Macaca fascicularis: one gene and its partners. The protein of the gene in region 1 interacts with the protein of each later gene in a biochemical or structural test. Links are inferred from orthologs where the notes say so. Each region holds a gene or a part of one and is shown in the gene's direction. Other genes may lie near its edges. The genes, in order: DYRK1A, DCAF7 and LIN52.

Evidence for each region.
Region 2: the proteins of DYRK1A (region 1) and DCAF7 form a complex in vitro, tested with the Homo sapiens proteins (2 studies listed by BioGRID). The link is inferred for Macaca fascicularis from reciprocal best matches to the Homo sapiens genes DYRK1A and DCAF7.
Region 3: of the proteins of DYRK1A (region 1) and LIN52, one has a biochemical effect on the other in vitro, tested with the Homo sapiens proteins (3 studies listed by BioGRID). The link is inferred for Macaca fascicularis from reciprocal best matches to the Homo sapiens genes DYRK1A and LIN52.

The regions. Positions count from the first base shown.
Region 1 is NC_088377.1:9,631,544-9,638,281, reverse strand, and holds the start of DYRK1A (dual specificity tyrosine-phosphorylation-regulated kinase 1A), read left to right. Parts: upstream 1-3,043; 5' UTR 3,044-3,376; intron 3,377-3,968; exon of another isoform or gene 3,969-3,997; intron 3,998-4,223; exon of another isoform or gene 4,224-4,829; intron 4,830-6,738. UniProt on the Homo sapiens protein: Dual-specificity kinase which possesses both serine/threonine and tyrosine kinase activities. Exhibits a substrate preference for proline at position P+1 and arginine at position P-3.
Region 2 is NC_088390.1:70,057,660-70,064,535, forward strand, and holds the start of DCAF7 (DDB1- and CUL4-associated factor 7), read left to right. Parts: upstream 1-2,538; 5' UTR 2,539-2,771; coding exon 2,772-2,909; exon of another isoform or gene 2,910-3,034; coding exon of another isoform or gene 3,035-3,055; intron 3,056-6,876. UniProt on the Homo sapiens protein: Involved in craniofacial development. Acts upstream of the EDN1 pathway and is required for formation of the upper jaw equivalent, the palatoquadrate. The activity required for EDN1 pathway function differs between the first and second arches.
Region 3 is NC_088381.1:142,020,888-142,027,634, forward strand, and holds the start of LIN52 (protein lin-52 homolog), read left to right. Parts: upstream 1-3,088; 5' UTR 3,089-3,095; coding exon 3,096-3,126; intron 3,127-6,747. Other genes in the region: ALDH6A1 (methylmalonate-semialdehyde/malonate-semialdehyde dehydrogenase [acylating], mitochondrial), read right to left, coding at 2,474-2,527.

The DNA.
Region 1 (6,738 bases):
GAAAAGTTACCCAGGCGTGGTGGCATGCGCTTATAGTCCTGGCTACTCGGGAGGCTGAGGTGGGGAGGATTGCTTGAGCCTGGGAGGTGGAGGTTGCAGTGAACTGTAATCATGCCACTGCACTCCAGCCTGGGCAATGGAGTGAGACCCTATCTCCAAAAACAACAACAACAACAACAACAACAAAAAAACAAAGAACAAACAATAAAGTTTGTACAAGGGCAGCAAGTGAAGACCTTTACCCAGAAGTCTGTAAGAACAGTAGGGGGATGTCAGATGCCAGGCCATGCCACTGTCCAGGAACCAAATGCAAATTGTTCACCTTCTCACTTGGCATGAGGGGCAGTGATAGGCATATTGGTTTGTTTGTTTGTCCTTGGAATATTTATTTGGGTTATAACTCTCAGCGAGATTCCAACTACTGGACTTACAGGCTTCGAATAGTGCATCACCAAGAGTGGTCACTAACGAATGTGAAACCAACCACAAGAAACCACCATCTTGGCATGCATCTGTGTGTTAGTTTCCTTTAGTGCCACTATAAAGTACCAACAACTAGGTGGCTTAAACAACAGAAATGTATTGTCTTGTAGTTCTGGAGGTCAGAAATCCAAAATCAAGGTGTTGGCAGGGTTGGTTTCCTCTCATGGCCGTAAGACAGAATCTGTTCCATGCTTCTTTGTCAGCTTCTGGTAGCCTCAGGTGCGCGGTGGTTTGTAGATGGCCACCTTCTCCTGGTGTCTTCACGTTGTCTTCGTATGTGTTTGTGTCCGTCCAAATTTCTCCCTTTTTTTTGGAGACGGAGTCTTGCTCTGTCGCCCGGGCTGGAGTGCAGTGGCCGGATCTCAGCTCACTGCAAGCTCCACCTCCCGGGTTCATGCCATTCTCCTGCCTCAGCCTCCAAGTAGCTGGGACTACAGGCGCCCGCCACCTCGCCCGGCTAGTTTTTTGTATTTTTTTAGTAGAGACGGAGTTTCACCGTGTTAGCCCGGATGGTCTCGATCTCCTGAACTCGTGATCCGCCCATCTCGGCCTCCCAAAGTGCCGGGATTACAGGCTTGAGCCACTGCAACCGGCCCAAATTTCTCCTTTTCATAAGGACAGCAGTCATTTTGGATTAGGGTTCACTCTAGAGACCCAACTCGATATCCTCTGTGAAGACTCTACCTCCACGTAATCTTGAATCATCTTGGTGTGTTGGAAAGAACATGGGCTTTGCAATTATACCTGTGTTTGAATCCTGGCTTCACCACTTACTAGTGAGTGGTGACTGCCTTGAGAAAAGTCATGCAATTATTCAGGACTTGTTTTCTCATCCCTATAGTGGGGATGCAATGTTGCTGTGAGGATTAGAGATACTCTAGAACGTGCTGGATAAGTGGAGGCTGTTACCACCTATAAGCTGAGGGCCTTTGCTTTTCAAGGTGAAAAGTCTATGAATAAATACACCTGTAAGTGAATCTAATGGGGAGATTCTTGGATGACAGGGATTTCATCTGTGAACCAGGTCAGCTGGCATCTGTACCAGAGTCCTTCCGGCCTACATGTGGTCACTTGTTTGGAGCCAGCTGTAATTTACAGGTTACGTTTTTAGGCGAAGCCTGTGTAAAACCATTTTATAGCATTCCAACCTGGATATGACATTCACTGACCAATGTTGTCCAAGGCTGTCACACTGGGGAAAAAGGGGGTGCAGATTTCTAGATACGAAGACCAGCGATGCCTTCTATTCCCACACGTTTCTAATCTCAAGATTCTGCCCTACTCCGATGATCTTCTGGGTTGATTTGAACTGAAGACAAGGACACATATCTTGAGACACTGTCATATTCTGTTCCGGTTACCTAAGAAGATTAACTACGCAAGTTTCTTCCATTACCAGGAATAAAACTTTGAGTCAAATTTAATTTAGTACTAAAGGTTGCAAATGCTGACGTGCTCTGATAGAAGCGAAAGCTTGGTTAACGGGGTGGGATGGGGTGGGGGCAGGAAAGAGAGACCCGGGAGCAGAGAGGAAGGAGTTGGTTGTATAGGTGGAAGTTTGAGCTTGGGAGGAACCAGGTAGCGACCTCTCCTCTGAATAAGGGGCGCTCTGGGCCACTTCCTCTTTCTTCAAAACAATTAAGTTGACCGTGGACTTTAATCACATTAGCAGGGCAATTTTGAAACAATAATCCGAAAGAACTTTTGCCCGTTACGGCAACTTTTTTTTTATATTATGGAGATCAGTCTGAAAGCAAGCTATTTGCCCGATTACTTTTTGACCAATTTATTTTCGGTTTAGTCAGGTTTCTTTCCAAGTCTGTGCTAATCTGAATGGCTACCTTAGTAATTACTTTTTGACCAGTTTATTTTCGGTTTAGTCGGATTTCTTTCAGTCTGTGCTAATCTGAATGGTTACCTTAGTACATCAATGTCCTAGTAACTGTAGCAAGGACATTTTTGCTGGAAATCATTTAAAGCAGGTGTCTTTGAGTCATGTAGCATACACAGCGGTATTTACTGCTAGTTTTTTACACCTAATATCGTTTATAAAATTTTATCTGTTGCTACTATATTTGTGAGGTTTATGAAAAAAATTGGTTATGAACACTATCACAAGGAGGCAAAATCAAGCTTAGAAATCAATTAGTGACTCTGCTGTAAAATAGTACACACACACACTTTTTTAAGCTATACATTTATTAAATGCCATTAGAGCTGGTACAAAATACAATTTTTAGCTGGTGGCTCTATGCCGGTTACAACGCAGCCAGCATGGCATACTTGGGTTTTCAAGCCTCAGGAGCTCACCCAGCAATACATAGGCAGGCAGAAGGGGTAGACAGAATAAAAATCAGCGAAAGCCAGGATATTAATAAAGAGTTTTGATGGTTAAGGACAAGTAGGCAAATTAAGACGCTGGAAACCGAGGAGCTGCACAGAAAAGAAAACCAGGGAGCTGGACGACAAGGACACAGTAACAGCACAAGGGGATTTATCTAAGGGGCATTCCGATGGAGCAGGCAGGCTGCGCCCAGAAAGGTGGGGAGGGGTTGGAAGCAGATGGGCAGGGACGGGCGAGCGTGCACAGCCTGAAAAAGTTTTCATGATGGCTCCAGCCTAATTTCCCAACGCTGGTCTCGGGCGCCACAAAACCCGAGCGGCCCGACCGGAGCCGGGTGCCAGCCTCAGGGCCGCCGGGGCCCGGCGCAGCGTCCGGAATTCCTGCGATGTCTGGGGCCCGGCGGCGGCTCCTCCCCGCCCCCACCGCGGCCTCCGCCGGCATTTTCCGGCGAGGAGGCCCGCGAGCCCTTCGAAGAACCGGCTCCACGCGCGGCCGGCCGCGGCCGGCGCGCTTCCCGGGGAGAAAGGCGAGCGCGGCGTCCGGACCGCGGTGAGAGCCCTCCAGGCCCGGGCGTGCGGGGTGGGCTTCCCGGGTCCCTGCCCGAAGGCCGCGGCGCCCCGACCCTCCCCCTCCCCCGCCCCCGCCCGGGGCAGCCCTCCCCTCCCCCCGGCGCGGGCGGGGCTGCGGGCGCCAACGCGGAAGCGCGGGGCGCTAGGGCTGCGGGGGCGGCGGCGCGGGAGGCCGCGCGCGCTCCCCGGGCCGCAGTCGGCGCGGGCGCGGGGCGGGGCGAGGCGGCCGGGAGGCGGCGGGCGCTCGCGCACAGGCCTGGCCGCCGCCTCGCCCCCCCTTCCCCAGTCCCTACCCTCTCTCGGCCTAGCCGTCCCCCTCCTCTCCCCTCCCCCGGGCGAATCACGCGCCCTCCTCTGACACTCGTAGCGGGCCCGAGCTCCGAATTTATCCTTCACGTGACCTGAGGGGGTTGGGTGGTTGGCTGGGGACGGAGGGGGAGACGGAAAGGAGGGAACGGAATCTGCCGTTACCTGAGCAACAGGCCCCGCCCGCCGGATCGGGGCCGGGGGGCGGGAGGAGGACGTCAGCACGTCAGCCGGGGTTTTGCGTTTTGATTGACAGTTGCTATAGCGACCGGGTCGGTCCGTCGCCATTTTGTTGGTTGGTTTTTTTTTAAACCCTTTCGCTTCCCGCCCGAATAATAATAAAAAGCCCCATTGGAGTGAGGCGGGGGTGGCGGCGGCAACCGCGGCGGGGGTATCCGGGGAGACTGCTGCCGTCGCTGCTGCTGATCGCGGCCCAGGTCGGGCTCAGAGAGCGGACACCCCGAGCGGGGGGTGCGGGCGCCGCCGCCGCCGCTTCTGCTGCTGCTGTTCCTGCTGCTGCTGTTGGTGCCGCTGCCGCCGCCGGCGAGCGGGCGGGACCGGTGTGAGTGCGAGTGTGTGCGAGGGAGCGTGTGCGAGGGCGAGTGTGCGCGCGAGTGTGCGGGTGTGTGCGAGTGTCTGTCTGTCTGTGCGGGGACTCGGGGGCGGGCGGTTCGGGCTCTCCTGGCGGAGGAGCCGCCGCCGCCGCCCGGGCCCCGGCGCTTCTCGCTGCGCAGGTTCGGAGCGCGCGCCATTTTGTGAGATTTACAAAATCCTCCTCGGGAAGAAGCCGCCGGCAGCAGCCGCCGCTCGGCGCCCGGCCTCGCCGCCGCCGCCCTCTGTGCCGGGCCGGGCCGCGCGGCCCCGCCGCCGGGAATCGGGGCCCGGGGACTGCGGTATTTGCCGGGGAGGGGGCTGTCGCCTCCCCGGCCCCGGGCGCCGCTGGAACCGCGAGCCGAGGAGAGACTGAGCAGGCTGCGGCGCGGCCAGGAGCCGGAGCGCCGGGGGCGGAGAGAGGCGGCCGGGGCGGCGCTGGCTGCGGAGGCCGCGGCGGGAGCGGGAGCGCGGCGCGGGAGCCCGAGGCTGAGACTCACCGGAGGAAGCGGCGCGAGCGCCCCGCCATCGTCCCGGTGAGTGTCCGGCCCGGCCGCGGCCCCGCCCGGCTCGGCGCTCGGCTACCCCGGCGGCCCGCAGCCGGGCCCGAGCCGAGGCCGGCCGGGCGGAGGGAGGGACCTGCCATTTTAGGAGGAGGCGCCGCGGGCCCTGGGCCGGCCGCCGGGGGAGGGAGCCTCAGGCCCGGTCCCAAAGGAGCGGCGGGCGCGAGCGGAGGGAAAGTTGCGGAGGGTGGGAGCGGGGGCCGCGGCCTCCCGGGAGCCGGGGCCTGGGGGGCCGTAGACAGCGCCAGACCTTCACTGGCCGCCCGAGCGAAGGGGTGGAGGTTGTCTTCCTCCTCCTCTTCCTCCTCATCTTCTTCCCCCAGCTCCTCCCTCGTCCCTCCTCTCGGTCCCCACCAGTGTGGGAACCGCCGGGGTGCTTCGCAAGGACAATGCACGGGTTAAGAAAATGGGGCCGGCTGGGCGAGGACGGCGGGGCCGGGCCGGGCGCCGGGGAAGGTCGGGAGCCGCTGCCTCGGCGGCCCTGGGGGTCCGCGCCTGAGCGAGGGGCACTCACTGGTCTCCGATGTTGGGCGGGGAGCGCGAGTGTCCCCGGCGGCTCGGGGTGGAGGGATGACCTGCCCGGCAGCCGGGGGAGTTGGTGGCTGAGGAGAGGTGAATTAGAATGGATACCTGTGTATCGCCACAAAACTTCACGAGTCTATTTATAGGCACAAACCCACTCTCGCTTCGGAGCCACTGAAGCTGCTGAGCAGTTCAGCTCTTGGCCAAAGGCTCCTCCCTAATCTGAAATAGTTAAAAATGGTAAAATTAGTGAGTCAGTGACTTCGGTTCCTTGCCTGTGCCTTTAGCCCAACCCTAGGTGACACGAATCCCGTAATCTAGGCGCAGCGCAGGAATGCCAGCACCATTTGGTTCTTGAATTCCTCCCAAATTGTCAGAAAATACGCCTTAGAATATGGTTTTCACAAGTGCCAGGCGCTGTTCTCAGGGTTTTCCGTGGAGCGACCAGCTTGCCCAGCCGGTAGGAACTGTTCCCATTTTACAGATGAGGAGACTGAGCCTGGAGAAGGGGCACTGACTGGTCTGAGGTAATACAGCTGGGACTCCAGGAGCCGGGAAGCTGTAGCCAGTCTGGACTTGTGAATCACTAGGGTGTAACTTATTATTATAAATACTGGCAAATTTTGGAGTGATTCGTGTGTAATGACTCAGGGTTCTAACCTAGAGATTGTGTCCCCGTATGGTTTTTAGCATGGAATTAATAACCTTTGTGGCTTGCCGAGGCCGAAAGGTAAAGTAATGGTAATGAGCCCTCTTAATGAAACTTTTCCGTCCTTTTTTTCCCCCCAAGAAAACTATGTAGTTAATTTTTGAATGAAAGGAATTAAAAAATACTCCTTGGTGTGTTTTGTACTTCAAACTTAATTTTGATTAAAATCATCTTCTGAGTATTGATGAGTCATAAGAAAGTTTTGTGTGAAGTTATTTTTAGTTATTTTATTCTTTGCTTAAGAGCCTCTGTGACCCCTTTATATTTTGTGTCCAAAGTTAATATATTTAGCATTTTGATTTTGAGGTGTTTTAATAATTCAGTGGAATTACCTTTAGTTTTTGTTTTCTTAAATTTCTCGTATCTTGATCAGTTACTTTAGGAGAATATGGTTTTCAAGTAGACTTTTAAAAATGTGAGACTAGAACTAAAGTTTCATGTGCTAAGGTTTTAAACTGCAGAAGATCATTTCAAAGCAACTGGTTATGAAAAAAGCTTACTTGATTGTAGTTAAGATTTTTTACGTATACTTCAAGTATCCCAGTACTTTTGGAGGATTTTCCCTGGTATAGCAGTGGTGTTTATGGTAGCTGTCCAAATTTATTTAAGACTTCAAACCATGCTAGAAAGTTGACTCCTGTCAATGTCTAC
Region 2 (6,876 bases), on another chromosome or scaffold:
AACAGAGCAAGACTCAGTCTCTTTTTTTTTTTTTTTTTTTGAGACAGAGTCTCGCTCTGCGGCCCAGGCTGGAGTGCAGTGGCCGGATCTCAGCTCACTGCAAGCTCCGCCTCCCGGGTTCACGCCATTCTCCTGCCTCAGCCTCCCGAGTAGCTGGGACTACAGGCGCCCGCCACCTCGCCCGGCTAGTTTTTTGTATTTTTAGTAGAGACGGGGTTTCACCGGGTTAGCCAGGATGGTCTCGATCTCCTGACCTCGTGATCCGCCCGTCTCGGCCTCCCAAAGTGCTGGGATTACAGGCTTGAGCCACCGCGCCCGGCCAAGACTCAGTCTCTTAAAAAAAAAAAAAAAAAAAAAAAGGTTGGTCACGGGGTGGCTCACGCCTATAATCCCAGCACTTTGGGAGGCTGAGGTGGGAGGACCGGTTGAACCCAGCCTGGGTAATACAGCAAGACCTTGTCTCTACAAAAAATAAAAGGAGGTAGGAGGATTGCTTGAGCCCGGGAGGCCAAGGCTGCAATAAGCAGTGTCTCCCCCACTGCACTACCACCTGGGTAACAGAGCAAGACCCTGCCTCAAAACAAATGTGTATCAATTAATTGACATTTTAAAATTAATTTTTTGTAACTTTAATAAGGCTTTAAGGGTTACATCTATTAGTAGTACAGTTGTTCAAAACAACATTTATATTCAATTTTCTAATAAAAACTGAAATTTTATTGGAAATGTAGGTCACAAAAGAAAAAATTTCCTCCCCCCATTAGTTCCTATTATCTGTGGCTAAATATCATTATTTTTTATTAGAATAAGACAAGGTACCACAAATTTTGTACTTCTTTTTCTTTCCTTTTTAAATTTTTTTTTAAACTTTCCTCTTTACAGGGGATTTCCTTTAGCTGGGCGTGGTGGCGGGCACCTGTGATCCCAGCTACTCAGGAGGCTGAAGCAGGAGAATCACTTGAACCCTGAAGGCGGAGGTTGCAGTGAGCCAAGATAGTGCCACTGCACTAGAGCCTGGGCAACACAGCGAGACCCTGTCTCAAAAATAAAATAAAATAAAAAAATAAGGGGGATTTCTTGGGCAGATGTGGTGGCTCACGCCTATAATCCCAACACTTTCGGAGGCCAAGGCTGGCAGATCATTTGAGGTCAGGAGTTCGACACCAGCATGGTCAACATGGTGAAACCCTGTCTCTACTAAAAATACAAAAATTAGCTGGCCGTGGTGGTACACCCCTGTAATCCCAGCTACTCGGGAGGCTGAGGCAAGAGAATCACTTAAACCTGGGAGATGGAAAAATCATTTTCACTAAAAATTATATTTAGCGCCCAGAATGGTGGCTCAAGCCTGTAATCCCGGAACTTCTGGATGCTGATGTGGGAGGGTCGCTTGAGCCTAAGTTCGAGATCAGCCTGGGCAACATGGAGAGATCTCATCTCTACAAATAATTTAAAAATAGCTAGGTGTGGTGGCAAACGTCTGTTGTTCCAGCTGCTCTGGAGGCTAAAGTGGAATCGTTTGAGCCTAGGCAGTCGAGGCTACAGTGAGCCCTTATCACACCAGTGCACTCCAGCCTGGGTGACAGGGCAAGACCCTGTCTTTAAAAAAAAAAAAAAAAAAAAAAAAAACTTTAATGTTATAATCCAACAATTCAATACAAACCTCCTTCAATTTTGATGAAAGCTAAGAATTGGAAACCATTTATATAAAGGTGTCACTTGGTCTCTGGCCCTTCTCCCTTTCAAACTCACAGGCACAGATACTTTTGGGGCTGGATTAGCATTTGCGTTGGGATGCACGGCGGGGAAGGTACAGGATGGGAACCGACAAAAACAGAGCCAAGCTGGTCAGGTCGGTGTCTACCCCAGAATTCGGGGACATTTCTAGATCCTGCAGGAAAGCGCGGGAGGACCTGACTCAAGCTGGCCTGGCCCTGAGCGCAGCTGCGCCCCTGAAGCCTGGCCCTGAGGCCCGAAGACAGCAGCTTTCGGGTTAAAGGGGCCTTGGGAAGAGAAGGGGCAGGAAGGTGGTACCCGTTGCGCATAGGCCAGGCTGCCAGGCCGCGGGGCTCGGTCCCGCGAAAGTAGTAGGTCTTCCGCTAAAGCAGAATTGTACTTTTACTCGACAGCATGGAAAGGCCGCTCAGAACAGCAGCAGCAGAGGAGAAGTCAGCGCAGGTCACAGACAGTTTCACGCTCAGAGACTTGGCCTAGAACTTGGAGGCCCGCTACTCCAGCACGCTCGCCTCCCGGCCACCCACGCCCCCACCACCCGCACTGCGCCGTTATCTGCCTGACTGACATCTTGGTCAGCCAATGATCTTTGGGGCTGCCAAAGCGCCTGCCTCCGAGAGTTGGGCGGGGCGAGTAGTTGCAATGACAAACATTTAACCCAATAACGAGGAGATTTCACACGCTACGGCCGCAATAACCAATGAGAAGAAAGAATCCTTTCGAAAGGACGTGTCAGGCAACCAACGGCCGGTGGCGCTGCAGGGGTCCCGTGGCTTCCGTTCCGAGAGGGCGGGGCGGCGTCCCGAAACGGAAGGTGGTTGTCGTCGGTGCCCAAGCTGGTTTGAAACTAGGGGTCGGGTTCGGTCGTTGTCGTTGTTTGTCGCCGCATCCCCGCTTCCGGGGTAGGCCGTTCCTGCCCGCCCCCGCCCCTCCTCCCTTCGGACCCATAGATCTCAGGCCCGGCTCCCCGCCCGACTCGCACCCCGCCCGCCGCAGCCCACTGTTGACCCGGCCCGTACTGCGGCCCCGCCGCCACCATGTCCCTGCACGGCAAACGGAAGGAGATCTACAAGTATGAAGCGCCCTGGACGGTCTACGCGATGAACTGGAGTGTGCGGCCCGATAAGCGCTTTCGCTTGGCGCTGGGCAGCTTCGTGGAGGAGTACAACAACAAGGTGGGCCGGGCAGGGCCTCGGAACCCAGCTGGCGGGGAGCGGGCCCCGGGAGCGCCCTTTCCGGGCCGGAGCCCAGGCCCCAGAACCCTCCTGCGGACTCGCCTTAGGGCCATGGAGCGGTTCCAATGTCTGGCCCTGTGCTGAAGGTTTCGTACTCGTTGTCTGTCTCATTTAATCCCGGCAGCATTCTTGTGTAGTCGGCAGTGTAGTGGGGAAACTGAGTCACGGTTTTGTGACTTGCCTGTGTCAGGCAGCTATTTCGTGGTGGAAACAGGTCTTAAAACCGGGTTTACGCCCCAAAGATACTCCATTTATTCCTCCCGTGCTCTCCACTCCTGCCGCATTTTTTTCGTTGGTGGGCGGGGAAGGGAAGAGGGAGTGGTAGTTGTGAAGGAAAATGCAGACGCTTCTATTCGCGGTCGTGCACTCTTGGCCACACTAGATTTCTATTAAGACGATCTGTTGTACAAGCTTCCCCGCCCCCTACTCCCACACCCCGGGTGTGGATCCTAGCCCTTCTGCCAGAATTACTGTTGCTCTTGCTTCCTGATAACCATTCTCTCTAAAGCAATCTCTTTGGAAATCTTGGCCTGTGGCATGATCCCGCGGTTGTTTCCTGAACACAGGATGACAGGGCCTTATCTTTTGGCTTGTTTCATGCTAGTACAGTTGTGTGACCTTTAGTAATAGATCTTGCTGGACATTCATCAATTTGAGAATCCTTTATAGAAGCACGGTGTCGTAGGGGAGCTTTTAAACTGGCATTGCAACATAAACTCATCTTTGAAAGCTGAATAAGTCAGTTGGAAGCATTTTCTTTGCTTTCTTCCTTTTACTCAATTAAAGTTGAATGATAGCGATCAGAGCAACTGAAAGCTGTGGCTAGTGATATTTAAAGCCACTACTGCCTTATGCCATGAGCATCAGATTTAAGAAGAGTAAAACTGGCTGGGCGCGGTGATTCACGCCTGTAATCCCAGCACTTTGGGAGGCCGAGGCAGGCAGATTACCTGAGCTCAGGAGTTTGCGACCAGGCTGGGTAACAAGGTGAAACGCTGTCTACTAAAATACAAAAAAAAAAAAAAAAAAAGAAGAAGAAGAAAACTGTTCAGTGACAAGGCTCATGCAGGGGGGAAAAAGCCAGGTGGTCTAGGAGTGGGTCCTGTCTGATTATTGACTAGCTGTGAGGTGTTGCACAGGCCTGTTTTATTATCTGTGACCCACAGTTTGCTGTAGGGAAGGGGTTCTGGTTTACATGTGAGGGTCTTGTAAAAAAGAAATTTGAATATTTTACAGTTTGTTTACAGTTTTTCAGGAGCACGTTTCTCTAGAGTAGGTCTTCTTTGGAGTCCTCTTTGAGAAGCTGATGAAAGCGATGAATTTTCATTGTCCAGACATTACACATACGTGAACATATTTACAAACAAATCCAAGCAATATGCACTGATCTTTAAGTTCACCCATTTCCCGGGCGAAATAGAGCTGTATTTCCTTTCCTCTGATGCTTCTTTCTTCCTTGTGGCCCATTGTGGACAGCTGAACTGGGAATGGGATTCAAGATTCTGATGTGGACACCGTGTTAGTAAAATTAAGACCACTAGAACTATTGTTTAAGGATACACGTGGAAAATAAAAAAGTATGTCTTTCAAAGAGCTTAAGCTTAATTTTTCACACAAATTAATGTTTTTTTCCTGTGTGTTTTTCCAGTGTCACGGGGTAAACAATAGTTACTCCTATTCTCCAGAGAGGAGAAACTGAGCCACAGTTAGGCTGCTGGTAGAATCAATGGAGTAGTCAAACTGCTGTTGCAGGAACTCTACCCCAGTTTGTCCTTTCTTTTAGCAACTCTCTGGAGCTTCCTCTTTGTTCCAGGCACACAGGTAGCATGGCTTAGCAGTGAAATGCAAACTAATAACCCCACTATCAACAGCGTAAGCAGTTAGCTATATCTTAACTCACATGATGTAGGCAATGTGCTGTCTTAAAATCATTTTTGTGCCTCCACCTGTCAGTAGGTCAGGGTTCTTAAATTCTGTGTGCTATGATCATCTGATACCAATAGACCCCTTCTCATAGTTATGTTTTCAAATGCATAGAACACGTAGAATTACAAAAGAAACCACTTACGTTGCACTACAGATATAAACATGTTTTTAGAAGTGGTGATGTAGTCATATGTACTTTTAATAAATATATTGATTTACACCATCCAGTGTAATTATTAATGTAATTTTGAAGTGGTGACAAGGGTAAACAGCATTTCAAGATGCTTAACTGCACCGTGGTGGGAAAAAATATTTCTCTTGCTGGTGAAGTCACAGATACTTATGCCACTGTGAGCACCTAACCCATTTGTAATTGAAGGAAATAAAACATATTTAGCTAGAGGTGAATGGAAATATGGGCATGATTTTCCAATTCAAGTTCACAGACCCCAAGTTAAGAAACCCTGCGAGACAGGATTATGTCTAGTGGTTGGTGAGCAGCAAATCCTGCCTTAAAGCAATGATTCTGAAGCTAAGTTTGTGAGAAGCCCTGCCAAAGACGTGGTCGACTTCGTAATTTGGAGAAACTTTAGAATTATTGGTTGGAATTTTTAGACCATTGGTTCCTGCTTGCCATGGATAGTGATCACCAGCAGAGGAAAAAGTAAATGGACACAGCGAATTAACATTGATGAAAAAGGCTAGAAGTGGTCATCTTTTTAGTGTGGAGACATTCACTAAGAAAACATGGTTATAATTTTTAAAATTTGATATTAACATACTCATGTTTTCCTAACGTAAAATTGTTCCTAGTTGATCCATAGAATTAAGTCTATCAACAGTTTAAGAAATTGATTTCCAGGTGTTCCTTCGTGTGACTAAATTTGGGAATTATTGCAGAGTAAAAAAACAGATTCTATCAAATACACCTGGAATAAAAAGCCCCATTATAGGGCTGGGCGTGGTGCTTCACACCTGTAATCCTAGCACTTTGGGAGGCTGAGATGGGAGAATCACTTCAGTCCAGGAGTTTGATACCAACCTGGGCAACATGGAGAAACCCTGACTGTACAAAAACATTAAAAAATTAGCCAGGTATGGTGGCATCTGCCTGTAGTCCAGCTACTTGGGAAGGTGAGGTAGGAGGAAAGTTTGAGCCCAGGAGGCAGAGGTTACAGTGAGCAAAGAGCATGCCACTGCACTCCAGCCTGGGCGACAGAGCCAGACCCTCAAATAACGATGCTCAAAAAACAGCATCGTTATTGGTTATTATGTTTCTACCTTCTTTTGTTGTGGTCTCTTGAGGAATAAAGCAGGATTGGTGTTGGAGCAACAGGTTCTCTAAATTTTAGTGTGTGAGAATCCCAAGGGAGCTGCACATTCCTGGGCTCCACCCTTGAAGTTAACAGACTTGGAGATAGGTGACAGACACACTAGTGGTTAAGGGATCAGATGGCACTCTCAGAACATGGCCCTGGAGCTACCTTGGCATTTGCTGGCCAGAGGCAGGAATCTGATCTTTTTGTGCCTGCATGCCCCTAAACATTGGCTCTACCCTTCCATCCAACTTCACCGATGAAAAAAGCTCTGTGATTAGCCTGGGTTATCTAAGTCCTGCCACTTCCCAGTTTTGTATTGCCTTGGGCAAGTTATCCTCTGTGTCTCAGTTTCCTCATCTGTAAAATTAGGGCAATAAATAATAACATCTACCTTGTTCAGAGATTAAATGAGTAAATATATGTAATGGACTTAGGAACTCCACCTGGCATGGAGTAAGCCATATAGAGATGTTAGCTGTTATTTAATCATTATCATTACTGTACCTGTAATTGAAATATAACCAAAGAGAATTATATGACTGTTTAGTAAATTTAACTTTTGTATTTTCCAGAGAGGATTCAGGAATAAGAGGTCAGAAAGGTAGCTGAAAAGGTCATTATTTCATTCTCTGCCTTTTAAAGACTCTGGGGGAAAAATTCCC
Region 3 (6,747 bases), on another chromosome or scaffold:
CAGTTACTAGTTCAGTAACCATATCACTGAAAGTGCAAGTCACTACATCTTTTTAAGAGTAATTTTCTTGCCCAGGTGCAGCGGTTCATGTCTGTAGTCCCAACACTTTGGGAGGCTGAGGTGGGAGGATTGCTTGAGTTTAAGAGTTCAAGACCAGCCTGGGCAACATGGTGAAACCCTGTCTCTACAAAAGATACAAAAATTAGCTGGCATGGGGGCACGACCTGTTGTCGCAGCTACTTGGAGGGCTGAGGTGGAAGAATCACTTCAGCGTGGGAGGTCGAGGCTGCTGTCAGTTGTGATTGCACCACTGCACTCCAGCCTGGGTGACAGAGCGAGACCCTGTCTCAAACATTCCTTTATCTCTGAATGGGAGTGATAATATCACAAGGAGCAGAAAGAGGTTTTAGGTTAAGTTTGACTACTCTTCATAGCAGAGAAAAATAAGCTGAATACTTAAAATAATTGAAAACGTGAACTCTCTATAAATCCTTTTGATAGTTCTCTAATATTCATGGCTGCCAAAATCGAGGGTTTTTTTTTTTTGTTTTGTTTTTTTTTTAAGACGGAGTCTTGCTCTGTCACCCAGGATATAGTGCAATGGCACAATCTCAGCTCACTGCAATCTCTGCCTCCCGGGTTCAAGTGATTCTCCTGCCTCAACTTCCTGAGTAGCTGGGATTACAGTCGCCTGACACCCGGCTAATTTTTGTATTTTTAGTAGAGAAGGGGTTTTACCATGTTGGTCTGGCTGGTCTCCAACTCCTGACCTCAGGTGATCCACCCACCTTGGCCTCCCAAAGTGCTGGGATTACAGGCAGGAGCTACAGTGCCTGGCCTCTAGGCTACTTTTTATCAAACTTTTAATCAAAGTTTCATGTTACAACTCCTAGTTGGCTGAGGATTACTCTATTTGTTCTTTTCTAGGTCACTTCAGAAGTTTCTCCAAATGAATCAGAAAATACATAGTGTCTGTTTCTGAAATAAAGTACAAGGAAAGAGAGATTCTTCTCCTTGATGGAAAAGAACAAAATACTTTCTTAAGGTTCTCAATGACTCATTGTGATGGGAGGGGAAGAGGAGGCAAAGGAAAAAAACCAATTTCAGTAAAAGATTTCAAGAAGTTGGTAAGAAAAATATAGGGTGGAAACTTTGTTTTCCTGCTACTAAAAAAAGATACTAGAACAGAACAAGGATCACAGCAAGAAATATGAGTGAGGCCAGACCATCTGACAAACCCTTCAAACTCATCCTTTCTACCGTCCCCATTAAATAGCATATTTAAACGTGAATCTTTGCTGACTCTGCCAAGAATCTTGAAAATGCCCAAGTTTCTGTACTAGAACTCACGGAAACCTGGTGAATACTAATATTACCTAAAAGCGCAGCAATACAGAGGAAATTCTCAGACTGGATGTAATGAATAAGAAGGGCACTGTTGTTTCTTGCTGATTGTTTCTTGCCTGCAGTAAATCTTGCCTCATACTCTAAATCCTTGGTAGGCCATGAACAGGGGAAAGACTATAGAGTTGGAGATTACAGGCCTCAGGCATGCAACTCCTGTAGCTTTACCATTTCTCCTTAGGTTGGCTTCAGAAAGGACTCAATCCCCCAAGTGCAGAGATGAGGGTGTGTGGCACTAGAAGAGCTGATTTGGGGTGGGAACTTAGACTTCTTGTCTTACCTGGCTCCCACTTTCTATCACCTGTTTTGAAAATGTTTAGTACCTTGAACGTACATGGAACATACTGGTAGCGTTAACTGTGTGCCCTTATCTACCCTATGTACATGTGCCCTATCTATGTAAACTGTTTAACTTGGCTGAAAGTTTCACTGAAAGTTTTGGCAAGAAAGGGGACAGCCAGTCTATGGAAAATACAAAGAGCCACACTTAGGGAAAATAATTCGGTAAATGGCTGCCTTTGGTGAAAATCTAGAGTCCACTTCTAGAAGAAAATTCAAAGTTCATACACTGACCCTCGCCCCTCACGTTCCCCCTCCCTCTTACCTCGGATCACCACGGACAGTGAAGTAGGGTGGGGGAAGGGAGCAATGGCAACGTGGACACTCAAGGCAGGGGACAGAATAACCAAAAAGAGTAGTTTCTGGGGGATAGAGAGAACGCTGGTGCAGAGGTGAAAGGGAAAGACGGTGGGCGGATGGAGAGATGAGGGCAAGAGACTGACAGCAGGGAGCGGGCAGAGCTGGAGAAGGAGAGTGGGCGAGAGCCAGAAAAGAGGAGGCTTAGGAGTAAAAGGGTAGAGGGCCAAGGGTAACAGCCCAGGGTTGGATCCGGGACGAGGGAGGGTATGAAGTGAGGGCTGGGCATGGGACAGGGCCCACAGGTTAGGTAGGAGGTCCGGCCAAAAAGGGGTTGGGCCAAGAAGGTGGTCCCGCCCGAGGACGGCTCAGGGAGTGGACGGAAAGGATCCAATTCCTAGCTTCATGGTGCCTTGGCGCCACCCTCACTCGCCTGCAGGATCCTGGCTCGCACTACCGCCGCCGCCGCCGCCACTACCGCCGCCATGGCTCTCGGCCGCCCTAGCTCCGCAACCCGCTCCTCTACAGCTCAGACGCACTACAGCTGCCAGGCCTCGCCCTCCATCCTGCCGGGCTTCCTCATTGGTGGGGAGGACTATTTTCTTCAGCCAATCACTCGTCCTAACACCTGATTCCTCCTCTCACACCCCAGTCCTGGGGATAAGTGATTGGTCAGGAGCGAAAATGCTCGCACCCTCTCCTACCTCAGCCAATGCCGTTGGCGGAGGTAGAGAAGACGCCCCCGACTTGGACACTCCATACTGAGCACACGGAGGAGACGCCCCCCTAACCTGGAACTCCGATTGGCCAAGGACGCAACCGAGGCCCCACCCCTTCACTGAGCAAAGTAAATAAGACCCTCCAAGAATTTTGCTGTCGCTCCACCTCAACAACTGCATAAGGGGCGTGGCTATGATGAGGGGAGGGGCTGGGCGAAGATTGCCCTATGAGGCGAGGGAATGAGACGTGGCTGCGAGTTGGGGATAGGGTTTCTCTTTGGGGGCGTGGCTTATGGATCCTCGTTTTCCCGCCGACGGTTGGCCACGTCACGTGACATGGGTTGGAAGATGGCGTCTCCCACAGACGGTAAGAGCCGGCTTAGGGATGTTTGCCTGCAGCCTCCTTCTTTGCTGTATGGGGAACATCCACTCTGTCTCTGCCCCTCGAACATACATTTCTTTCTTGGGCTCTTCTCATTTCCCTTTTGTTTTTTTTCTTGCGATCCATCGCCGTCTTCAGCTCACCGGTTCTTCGCAGCAGCTTCAGAGGTGCCCAGTTTCCCTGCTCTGTACCAGGCGTGTGGAGGAGGGCACTAGGGAGGGACTCATTCTGGGTAAAAGGACAGGGGTCGCCCTGGCCCTTCCTTATCTCTATTTGGGCGAGGCTGAGGGTAGAGGAGGAGATGTTACTGGAGGACGTGCCTTACTGTAGTTTTCTCCTTGGGGTATCCCATTGAAAGGATCAGTTCTCTTCTGATTGAGCGCACAGATGGAACGATTCTCAAACCCTCGCAGGGGCTGCTGGCTGACCCCATCTCGATAGTGAACCGCAAGAGAAACATGATCTCTCTCCTGTCTCCTCAGTTTGGGACCATTGCCGTGGCAGCAAGAGAAGCGGGGGACGTTCTCGGCCCCTCGCCGAGAGAGTCGCGAGGAGAATGAGTATTGAGCTTTTAAGTGTTGTCTTGCACAGGTCGCAACCGCTCTTTCATCTGCTTTACGTGTTGTTTCTTAAGGCTGAGTGAATGAACGATTTCTGTTTATATGTTGTGTAAAATGCAAGTCATCTCAAGTAACAAGTTGTTTTGGTATACTCCCATGCTTTTGCTTTTGGTTCTGCTTTAGAGAGGGTCTTGCAGTCATTTTTAAACTCATTTTTAGTTCTACCATCCGCATCCCAACTATATATCGATTTTATTGATATATAGGTTTCCCTCCCTTAGACAAACAGATTTTGTATTTGGAAGGAATCTTGGAAGTTCATTGCAGGAATGAAGAAATTGAAGCCAAGGTGAGCTGTATTGAGTACCTACTACATGAAAGGCATAATGCTAGGTGCTTTGGGAGACCAAAAGATGACTCAAACATACACACTTTTTTTTTTTTTTTTTTTTCCAGTTTCAGTTCTCTTTTTAGATGTCACCTCCCAAAGAGTCTTTCTTAGAACACAGTATCTGGAGTTGCCCTTCCCCACCATTATTCATTGCCTCAGTATCTTCCTTGTCAGCATAGTTACTATGTTAACTTTGCCCCTTGTACGCTAGATTATAAATTACAAGTTTGTCTTGTTCATAGCTGGATCCCAGGTTTAGCACAGTGCCTGACGAACAGTAGGTCTTTAATTAACATGTATTGAAAGATTGATTAGATATGTGCAGAAATAATATATTACTTGATCTTAAGTTTTACGTTTAACCGAGTCTTAAATTTTGTGAGCACAGGTACATACTGTGTTAGAAATTATGGCCGGGCGTGGTGGTTCACACTTCTAATCCCAGCACTTTGGGAGGCTGAGGCAGGCAGATTGCCTGAGCTCAGGAGTTGAAGACGAGCCTAGACAACATGGTGAAACCCCATCTCTACAAAAAAATACAAAAATTATCTGGGTGTGGTGCCGTGCACCTGTAGTCCCAGCTACTTGGGGGGCTAAGGCAAGAGAATCACTTGAGCCTGGGGGTGGAGGCTGCAGTGAACCATGTTCATGTCACTGCACTCCAGTCTGAGTGACAAAGCGAGACCCCGTCTCAAAAAAAAAAGAAGGAAAAACAAGAAATTTGGATGTTTGGAGTCAAAAGAGATTCTCCTTCCTGGGTGCTCTCTTGCAAAAATGTCCTTCTCTCGCCAGAAAGAAAGGCATTTAAAAAGGGAATAGGGAGTTATTGTTAATGGGTACCAAATTTCAGTTTGGGAAGGTGAAAATGTTCTGGAAATGAATGTGATGATTGCACAATTAATGTACTTAATACCACTGAACTCTATACTTAAAAGTTATTAAAATGGTAAAATTTATGTATATTTCACCACAATTTTTTTAAAAAGCCAAGTGATAGAAATAGAGGTAATTGTTATTAAATTTTTTAGTTTATTTTAAAATTGTTTTTACAAATTTTGGGGATTTTAGAGATGTGTTCCTTGAGTTTGGTTTTTTTTTTCCTTGCCTTCTCTCAATTTAGTTTCCTTTCTTTGGCCAGGAAGAGTATTAAAAATGTTAAATTTTTTTCCTTTGGTCTTCTAGCCATCCCTATGGTCACTTTATTTGCACTCTTGATTTTTAAAAGTCTTCATTCTCATCTCTTACAAAGTTTTACTCCTCTCCACCTAATGTTTTCTTTTAATCTGAAAAAATCAAGTCAAGCACTTTGAACTTAAATTCAACGTCTCAGTAAGTATCTCATTCCAAAATATTCCATGGCCTAGCTCTCTCACTTCTATTTTTAGTGTTCCACCTGTCACTGTCTTTAAAATTTAATTCAGATAACATTGACTTGAAAATGTTTGTCATTTACTCTTTTGTCTTTTTCGTGATAAATTTGCTGGAGCTTCTTTGAAAAGGAGAAAACTGAAATTCAAATACAGCCATCTAATTACTTAATTTATGAGAGTAAGACTCACAGCAGAGTCTGAGTTCTATCCCAGACTGTGGTATCATAAGGTCACCCGTGTAGGTTATTAGATTGTACCCCCAATAATTTTTTTAAAAATTTTCTTTTAGAGACAGGGTCTCTCTCACTCTATTGCCCATGCTGAAATGCAGTGGTATGATTATAGCTCACTGCACCCTCAAAGGCTCAAGCTATCCTCCCGTCTCAACCTCCCAAGTAGCTGGTACTATAGGCTCACACCACCATGCCCAGCTAATTTATTGTTATTATTATTTATTTTGTTTTGAGACGGAGTCTCACTCTGTCACCCAGGCTGGAGTGCCATGGCACGATCTCGGGTCACTGCAATCCCTGCCTCCTGGGTTCAAGTAATTCTCATGCCTCAGCCTCTCCAGTAGCTGGGATAACAGGCACACACCACCACACCTGGCTAATTTTTGTATTTTTAGTAGAGACAGGGTTTCACCATATTGCCCAGGCTGGTCTCAAACTCTTGACCTCAGGTGATCCACTCACCTCAGCCTCCCAAAGTGCTAAGATTACAGACGTGAGCCACCGTGCCCTGCCTTATTATTTTTTGTAGAGATAAAGTCTCACTATGTTGCCCAGGCTGGTCTCAAACTCCTGGGCTCAGACAGTCTTCCTGCCTCAGCTTCCCAAAGCACTGGGATTCCAGACACGAGCCACCGCACCTGGCCCAATAACTTTATTTTTGTTATGGTTGAACATTCCTCAGAAATTGGTAACAAAGAGAAGCTAATTTTTAATGCTTTAGTTAAGGCAGTGTATTAGTTGAGTTCTTTACAATTAAAATGCCATTGGAAATTCCTTTGGGATATTTGGCAAAACAAATTCAGTTTAGAGAAAAGTACATGTTGAAAAATTTTGTACATATGTGTATTTTCTGGGGAGTGAGTTCATTTTTTTTCCCAGATTTCCAAAGATGTGGCTTACCCAGAAAATGTTAAGAACCGCTGTTTATAGCATTAAATGAACTAGTTATGCAACTGGTTAGCATACTGAGCATACAATAAAAACTCAACGAATGTTAATATTGAGTACTACTCTGTGCAAGGGAAGAGTGGAAGAGAAATGATGTCAAAGAA